2 linked regions of the Xenopus tropicalis genome follow. The protein of the gene in region 2 interacts with the protein of the main gene of each other region in a biochemical or structural test. Links are inferred from orthologs where the notes say so. Each region holds a gene or a part of one and is shown on either strand. Other genes may lie near its edges.

The links.
Region 1: the proteins of kpnb1 (region 2) and kpna3 form a complex in vitro, tested with the Homo sapiens proteins (2 studies listed by BioGRID and IntAct, with this or other methods). The link is inferred for Xenopus tropicalis from reciprocal best matches to the Homo sapiens genes KPNB1 and KPNA3.

What each region holds. Positions count from the first base shown.
Region 1 is NC_030678.2:149,368,920-149,372,748, reverse strand, and holds the end of kpna3 (importin subunit alpha-4), read left to right. Parts: intron 1-1,039; coding exon 1,040-1,202; intron 1,203-2,396; coding exon 2,397-2,491; intron 2,492-2,654; coding exon 2,655-2,753; 3' UTR 2,754-3,243; downstream 3,244-3,829. UniProt on the Homo sapiens protein: Functions in nuclear protein import as an adapter protein for nuclear receptor KPNB1. Binds specifically and directly to substrates containing either a simple or bipartite NLS motif.
Region 2 is NC_030686.2:10,823,776-10,827,604, reverse strand, and holds part of kpnb1 (importin subunit beta-1), read left to right. Parts: intron 1-53; coding exon 54-125; intron 126-2,591; coding exon 2,592-2,736; intron 2,737-3,195; coding exon 3,196-3,278; intron 3,279-3,687; coding exon 3,688-3,795; intron 3,796-3,829.

The sequences.
Region 1 (3,829 bases), on a different chromosome or scaffold from region 2:
CGCGACAAATCTCCCTGTTCGCGGGCGACTAATCTCCCCGAAATGCCATCCCACCGGCAAAATGTAAATCGCCGGTGGGATGGCATACGCGGCAGCACGATTTCACTGATCGCGGGCGACTAATCTCCCCATGTGCCAGAGCCCTTAATGGGTGAAGCTTCACGTTAGAAAAGGAAGTTTCTGCAGCATGTTTCACCACGGGATGCACTGAATCCACAATTCGGTTTGGGATTAGGCCAAGATTCGTCCGAATCCACAGTCCTGGCTGAACTGAATCCAAATCCTAAAAATCACGTAACTTTAAACTTCTGTGTTTACGTGACAGATTTTTTACCATGTGCTTAGCGTGGGCGACATTTAACCATTCCAAAATCTAATTAGCATATGTTAATTAGGATTCTGATTCGGTCCAATATTCGGCTGAATCCTGTACGAAGGATTCAGGGGGTTCGGCCGAATCTGAAAAAGTGGATTCGGTACATCCCTAGTTTACTTATTCTTATTTAAGAAACTGGTTTCCTCCTGTATTGCTTGGTGTGTAAGTAATTTCTCTTCTCCCATAAATTTCCTACCGTGTGTGTGTAATACACTTGACTTTAACTTGCTATGCTTTGCCTATATGTGTACCCTATAACTCAGAAAGATGCATGGGGGTATCTCTGTTAGGAAACATTGGTTTATGTATGCGTACTGTTACTTTTCGATTATGTATTGAAGGGGTTCTGAAAAGCCCAGTCCCCCACCCTTAGTGCTGTATTGGGTGTGTAAGGCATTTAATTATCCTTTAGCGGCAGCCCCATACTGTCCCACTGGTAGAATAATGCCTCTGATTGTCTGATGGAAAGCAGTAGAATCCTTGTCTTGTTTTAACAAACGTCAACGAAAAAGCATAGAATGTAAAGTGGTCCTTCTTGTATAAAGGTTATAAAAGATGTTTATATCAAAATGTATAGGTACTTTATATTTTATCGAGCAATAGGTGAAGCCACTATACTGTATGTAGAACAAATTGGCTAATACATCTTTCTGTCGTATGCAGGTGGAATACCTTGTGCAGCAAAATGTTATCCCGCCCTTCTGCAGTTTGCTGTCTGTGAAGGATTCCCAAGTTGTACAGGTTGTTCTGGACGGTCTGAAAAACATTCTTATAATGGCAGGGGATGAGGCCAGTACCATTGCTGAGATTATTGAGGAATGTGGAGGTAAGGACTGGATTACTATCAGCTGGATCAGTACAGTAGAACTCACTGGCCAAGTGCAAGTCCCTAGTGTTGCTGAATTAGATGGAAGTTGCATCATGTAACTTTATATACTCATTTAACTGTCCATAAAGATGAGTTGAAGTGGCAGTTGATCTGGCTACAGTTGATACCAAAATGCAGGTTTCAATTGTTTACGCTTCTAAAAGAATTCTTTGTTGGGTTCTTCATTTTAATGCAAGGTTATTACCTGGGTCATAACTTTGAAGGGGGCCCCAAACCATAGGGTAAATTGCACCCTAGCAACGAGCTGCCCTAATTTTAAACTGAAGAGCTGAAGAAAAAACGAAATAATGGAAATGCAGAAAATTTTCAAGATTATTTGCAGATTGTCTCAGAATATCACTGTCCACATCATACTAAAAGCTAAACGCCTTTAGGAGTTGTACTGCTATGTATAAATACATATGTAATGAACAACCATTAGTTGGCTCTGATTGTTTTCCCCCTGAGCTTAGGCTTTCCTGTTAGGGTGGTGGCCCATGGGGAGATTAGTCACCTGCAGTTAGATCTCTGGACGAGGGGAGACTAATTTTCCTGAAATGCCTTCCCACCAGCTTTAAAGTGAATCACTAGTAGGAAGGCAAACACATTGCACCAAGTTTCCTCCTGCAGCTTTTGCCATTTTCATGAAAAAGTGACATTTATAAGGCTTTTGGCACAAGCACTGTGGTCCTCTTGGGAATAACATGTCGAACAACTCTAACTCGCCAGCTGCTGGTCCATGGGCTTCTTGTGTCTGTTGCTGTCAGACTGGGATCCCACTGGAGTTCAGAAATGAAAAGAGTTGTCTGTAGGCAGAAAACATGTTTGTGATGTATTGTGGGCTAAAGAGAGGATGTCATTTCACTTTTAATGTTCAGTTAAATATGAGCTGACATTTTTCCTTATGTTGTGGTTATGGATGCCCTGCAGCAGGTCCCCTTGAGGAATATGTGTCCGTAGAGTGTAGTAATGCCTAGAGTGTAGTAATGCCTTGCATGGATAAATTATGATAAAAATGGCAGAATGCATCACTGCCTCTGAAAAGTAACAGACCTATTGGTGCAGCAGCAAACACCATGTAGCAATCCTAACCTAAACCTAACCGATATCAAGATGTATTTCTAAATGTCTTGTTCCTGTGTTCTCCTGTAGGACTGGAGAAAATAGAAGCACTGCAACAACATGAGAATGAAGAAATCTACAAACTAGCATTTGAGATCATAGACCAGTATTTCTCTGGTGATGATGTAAGTGCCTTGTCTCTTTTCTGGGTATAGCAATGCCTTTTTATTTATAAATGGGGGTTTAGCATTAAGTACCTGCAAAACCTCTCCCCTCGGTCTTTTAGAACCAACCAACGGTGGCCAAGGTGCAAAATTACAATGATTGTTTTCATGTTCTTGCCTGCAGATTGATGAAGATCAAAGCCTTGTTCCCGAAGCTACCCCAGGAGGTACATATCATTTTGAACCAACAACCAGTCTGCAAACAAAGGAATTCAACTTCTAAGTATGTTGCTGTGCAGCTTTTCTGTCCCTCAGCATACGGCACCACCAGACATCAACCCGCTGAAGAAACATAAAGGCTTAAAGATACACACGCCTCTTCGTTTTGATGCTTCTAAAGCAAACCATGTTTATCTGTCACCTTGCAGTTGCCAAATGTCACATTCACACGGACTGTAATTGCATATGCATGATCTCGGTTTCCTTTGAAATTCTGACAGTCCCAACTCTATCTCCTGCCTTCTCCATTCAGCACCATGTGCTGACCGCCACAACATTCTTCTGTTCGATTATTCCATAGTGGTGGCATATCAGCTTACTGTGGGAAAAGTAGCTTCTCTTGAATCTGGTGCACTGTACATCGAGACTTTGGTATGATGCCTACGTTTTGGAAGAATTGCAGGAGTAGTCTGCTCTGAGCCTCCATCTTCCTACATGAACATTTTCATATTTTGTGGAACTAAGAAATTTAATGGAAAACAAAAAAAAAAAAACATGCAAGCCAAAATATTTCATTCGCAAAACCGAATAAAGGTTTTACTTGGGTGATTCAGTGAAAGAAATTGTTTAAGAGAAAGAAAACTGTAGTTCTGTCTCTAATTGGTGTTTCCTAAACTGCCTCACAAGTCAGGATTGGGAAAAAAAACGGAACTATTTCTAAGCAAAATGCTTTGTATTCTTTTTGAACATCATGCCGTATTTGACCACTCCTACATACATATCCTGCTGTTTTGAAGTAACCAAAACTGTGCATGGAGTTGCCTCTGAGCTTCTAGAATATGTCTGTATCTGAAGCTGAAAGCAAGAGTCCCTTACAACTAAAACTATACTGAGATTTTGACTAGAACAAATGTAAAATGTGGGGGGGATGGAACCTTGCTTTCATCTTTTAGTTGACTTGGTATTCTATTTCATTTAGGCGGCTAAAGGCGTTCATTTTTTTGGGTTCAAACTGTGGAGCTTTCATGTTTACTGTAATGTAGTCTTAAACAATTTCTACTTCGTAACCAGAGCTTTTTCAAATCATGGTTGGCAACAATAGAAATATTTAGAGACCTCTTAAAGCTTTGTTCAGAATAA
Region 2 (3,829 bases):
GTTTTGTAGCCAGTAGAGCTCTTATATATTCCACCCTCCTTTTCTTTCCACAGTCCCACATACAGAGCACTTCGGATAGAATCCAGTTCAATGACTTGCAGTCCCTGCTATGTGCTACCCTTCAGGTAAGGACTGTTATAATGTAAGAATTCGAAAGTTACTGGGTGGTTTAAATATTCATAACTAACTTTACATTTCTCAACCTCTTGACAAAGTGTATTACAAATACAGGTTTTGGATCCCTTTTATCTAGAAACCTCTGAATTTGAAAAGTCCATTTCCCATGGAGTCCATTTTATAGGACAAGGCAACTCAAAATATAATTTTTTGCCTAATAAAAGAAACCAAAACTCTAAGCAGCTTTGCAATATACATTTATTACAAGTTTGTAATGGTTTTTGGGTTATTTGTATTTATAATTGCTATTAGAAGCAGTGTTTGCCTGTCCTTTTCTATTCTCTGCCCTGGGGGCTCAGACTGTTGAAACATTGTAACACAAGGCAGCAGACTGACAGATCTGTATTGCTGGAGAAGCAAGACCTTTGCAACATTGTTTAAAATGTAACAACCAGGAGCTCAGCAAATGCTGCTTTCAATAGCAATTACATTTACAAATAACGTTTAAAAGCGCTACAAATATTTAATTATTTCATATTGGAAAGTTGCTTAGAATTATGTTTTCTTTCATTATGCAAAACATTATTTTTGGGGTTGACATGCCCCAAATCTAATTTCTAAATTATTTTTTTTCTGGAGTAATAAAACAGCACTTTGTGCTTAATCCTAACTGAGCTGCGTCAATCCATATTGGTGTCAATGCAATCCTATTGGGTTTATGTAATGTTTAAATGTTTTTTTTTTTTTTTTAGCAGGCTTAAGGAATGGGTTATCCAATATATAATATTCCTTATCTGGAAAGCCGATCCCAAGCATTCAAGATCATAGATTTTTCCTATACCTGTATAATTATTGAAGGCTGCAACCTTTTAGTACATGCCTGGGACAAGACGACTTTAGGTCTCCAGTATTTTCACAGCGAATATAAAATTTAAAGAAACATTAACATCAAAAAATGAAAAAATTTGAAAATGAATTCAAATATAGGGTGTCTATTTCCTGTACTGGTAGTTGTACGTTTGCTTAAACACTTCTATAGATTATATGAATAAGCTGATTTATAGCCATGGGGCAGCTATTCAAGCTGAAATAGGGCTAAATGGCACAGGCTACATAGCAGATAAGCTCTGTATGATACAATAGATTTAGGCCTTGTGCAGAAATATAAACCCACTTTTGCAGGTTGAATATCTTCCCCTATGGCTGCACAGCAGTATTTTCATACTGGTAAAAAGCCAGTTTTACCAGTGCAGGGAAACCGTATGTTATATTTTAATACTTTTAAACACTTTGATATATTTTTTTGGTGTTACTGTTTCTTTAAGGGGAGTATGTTATCTGCACTGTTATGTTCCCTGGCGGCTTCATTTGACAACTTGAAACCCACACTGAAATGCAAGCTGCCTGCAGTACTGCAGCAAGATCTTACATGGTGACTCAGTCTAAGTGGAACTGTCGATCCTTGTGAGCACAAATCAAGCCCTGATTTTAAAAGGTGTTGCTATCATGCAACCTCTATTGCTCCCAGCCCCTACCTGTATAAATCCCACAGCGTTTTACAGAGTGAAGACCCTGACTAGTTTTAAATGGGCCCACAAACACCATAAACTGCAATACGCTTATCCAAAGACTCCTATAAATCCTGAAAGACTCCCATATCCTAATAAATTATGAGGAAATATGGAAGCAAACTGAACATTTTTGTGCAGTAAACTGCAGTCATTGCGCTGGTATCATAAAGTACAAGGAAAGGTACAATCACTTACCAGGTATCCCAGGCCGGTGCTCATTAGTAGAAAACTGCAACAGTCCAGTGTACACATTTTGGTAACCCCCAATGATTGTACTTTTCCTTTATACAAATTACCTTGAATATATGGTACAACACTAAAACCAGTATACGGTATTTACAGTTTCTTAACACACCCCATTTCCCACTTGGATGCATAACCCCTCCAGGTTTGACCATTTGGCTTGTACACTAAACTTTAATGGAGTTGTGGTAAGGAAACAAACTATCCTACATATTTGGTGGTCATATTATCTATGTGCAAAATATAGGGGTGCTTCTGTCACACATTGTGCACTGTATGTGCAGTTGTTATAATACCTTCTGGAACTTTTGACAATACAAAGACTTTACAATATAGAGCAGTTGTCTTGAAAATAATAATTGCGCAAAGAAACGAGACTAATCAGCAGTTTGTTCATGTTGTCTGTGAAGCTCTGGGCAGTGGCTCATCGTGAACATGAAGTTCCAACAATGTAACATGAAATTATTGATTTCATTATGGTGGCTACTGCCATGTCTCAGCCCTTGAATATGAACTTCCCCTACCTGTGTTAAGCAAGTGCTTTCCGGCAAGCAAGAAAATGCATCCATGTGGCAAGAGAAACCTCTTATACTTGTTTTTATGTATCAGAATTGTTTTTATACTTTCTTAATCTGTATATCCTATTATGGTTTTCTCTAGAATGTGCTGAGGAAGGTGCAACACCAGGATGCCCTACAGATATCTGATGTTGTGATGGCCTCATTGCTCCGCATGTTCCAGAGCACTGCAGGTTCTGGGGGAGTACAGGAAGATGCCCTCATGGCAGTCAGCACCCTAGTGGAAGGTAATGGTGCCTGATGTGGTTGCAGTACAACCTATGTGTAAGATTGATGTTTGCAAAGTTTGGCACAAATAGAAATCAATATGAATGCAGTGGTTGTCACAAAGTAAAGTGTAGTCGTAATTGCATACTATTACAAACCACTGTTTCATTTATTGCCCTGGTTTTGTCCTATAGTTACATAGGGTTGAAAAGACGACCAGAGTCCATCAAGTTCAACCCTTCCAAGTAAACCCAGCACCCACAAACCTATACAGACCTATATCTATACACTCGCATACATAAACTATATATATACCAACAACAATACTAACTGTGGAGTTTATGTTGGTATAAATCTCATTACTGATGCCAACAGTGGCTAGTGGAGAATGTCATCTTGAACAATTATGTCACATAGATGCCATAATGACATGTTACTTATTTTTCATTAAGTATGGGGTTTGCATTCCTGTTTTATAGTGCTTGGAGCAGAATTCCTCAAGTACATGGAAGCATTTAAACCATTCCTTGGCATTGGACTTAAAAATTATGCAGAGTATCAGGTAAGATGACATTCCTGTTTGCCAAACTCTCCCACCTTGGCCCGCACTGGCAGGTTGTAGATTCTGGAAAATGCTAAGCCAATTTTTAATCTATTAGGACTCCCCCATGTGATTGTAATCTAAATGGAGATTAAATGGCATATTAAATACCCCAGTCGTTTTGCAGTGTTCTTAGTGTACAAAAAAGCCCTAGAAACGTCTAGTTGCTGGAGAGTCTCTGGATGACAAGTTCATGCACCACACAGAAATGTTCTGTTGATTATGAATTTCTGAAGACTTCTTCCAGACTGTAGGAAGTTTTAGAGTTCCCTTTTGTTTATTTGCATTTCTGCCACATAGCGTAGAAAGTAGCACGTTTGCCTGCGTTTGTGTAAGAATAGGCTTCTGTAAACCCTGTTGTTTTTCCCAGGTGTGTCTAGCTGCAGTAGGACTTGTTGGTGACCTGTGCCGTGCTCTACAATCCAATATCTTGCCATTCTGTGACGAAATGATGCAGCTTCTGCTAGAGAACTTAGGGGTAAGTATTTGGTGAAAGAGGAATTGTGTACAGC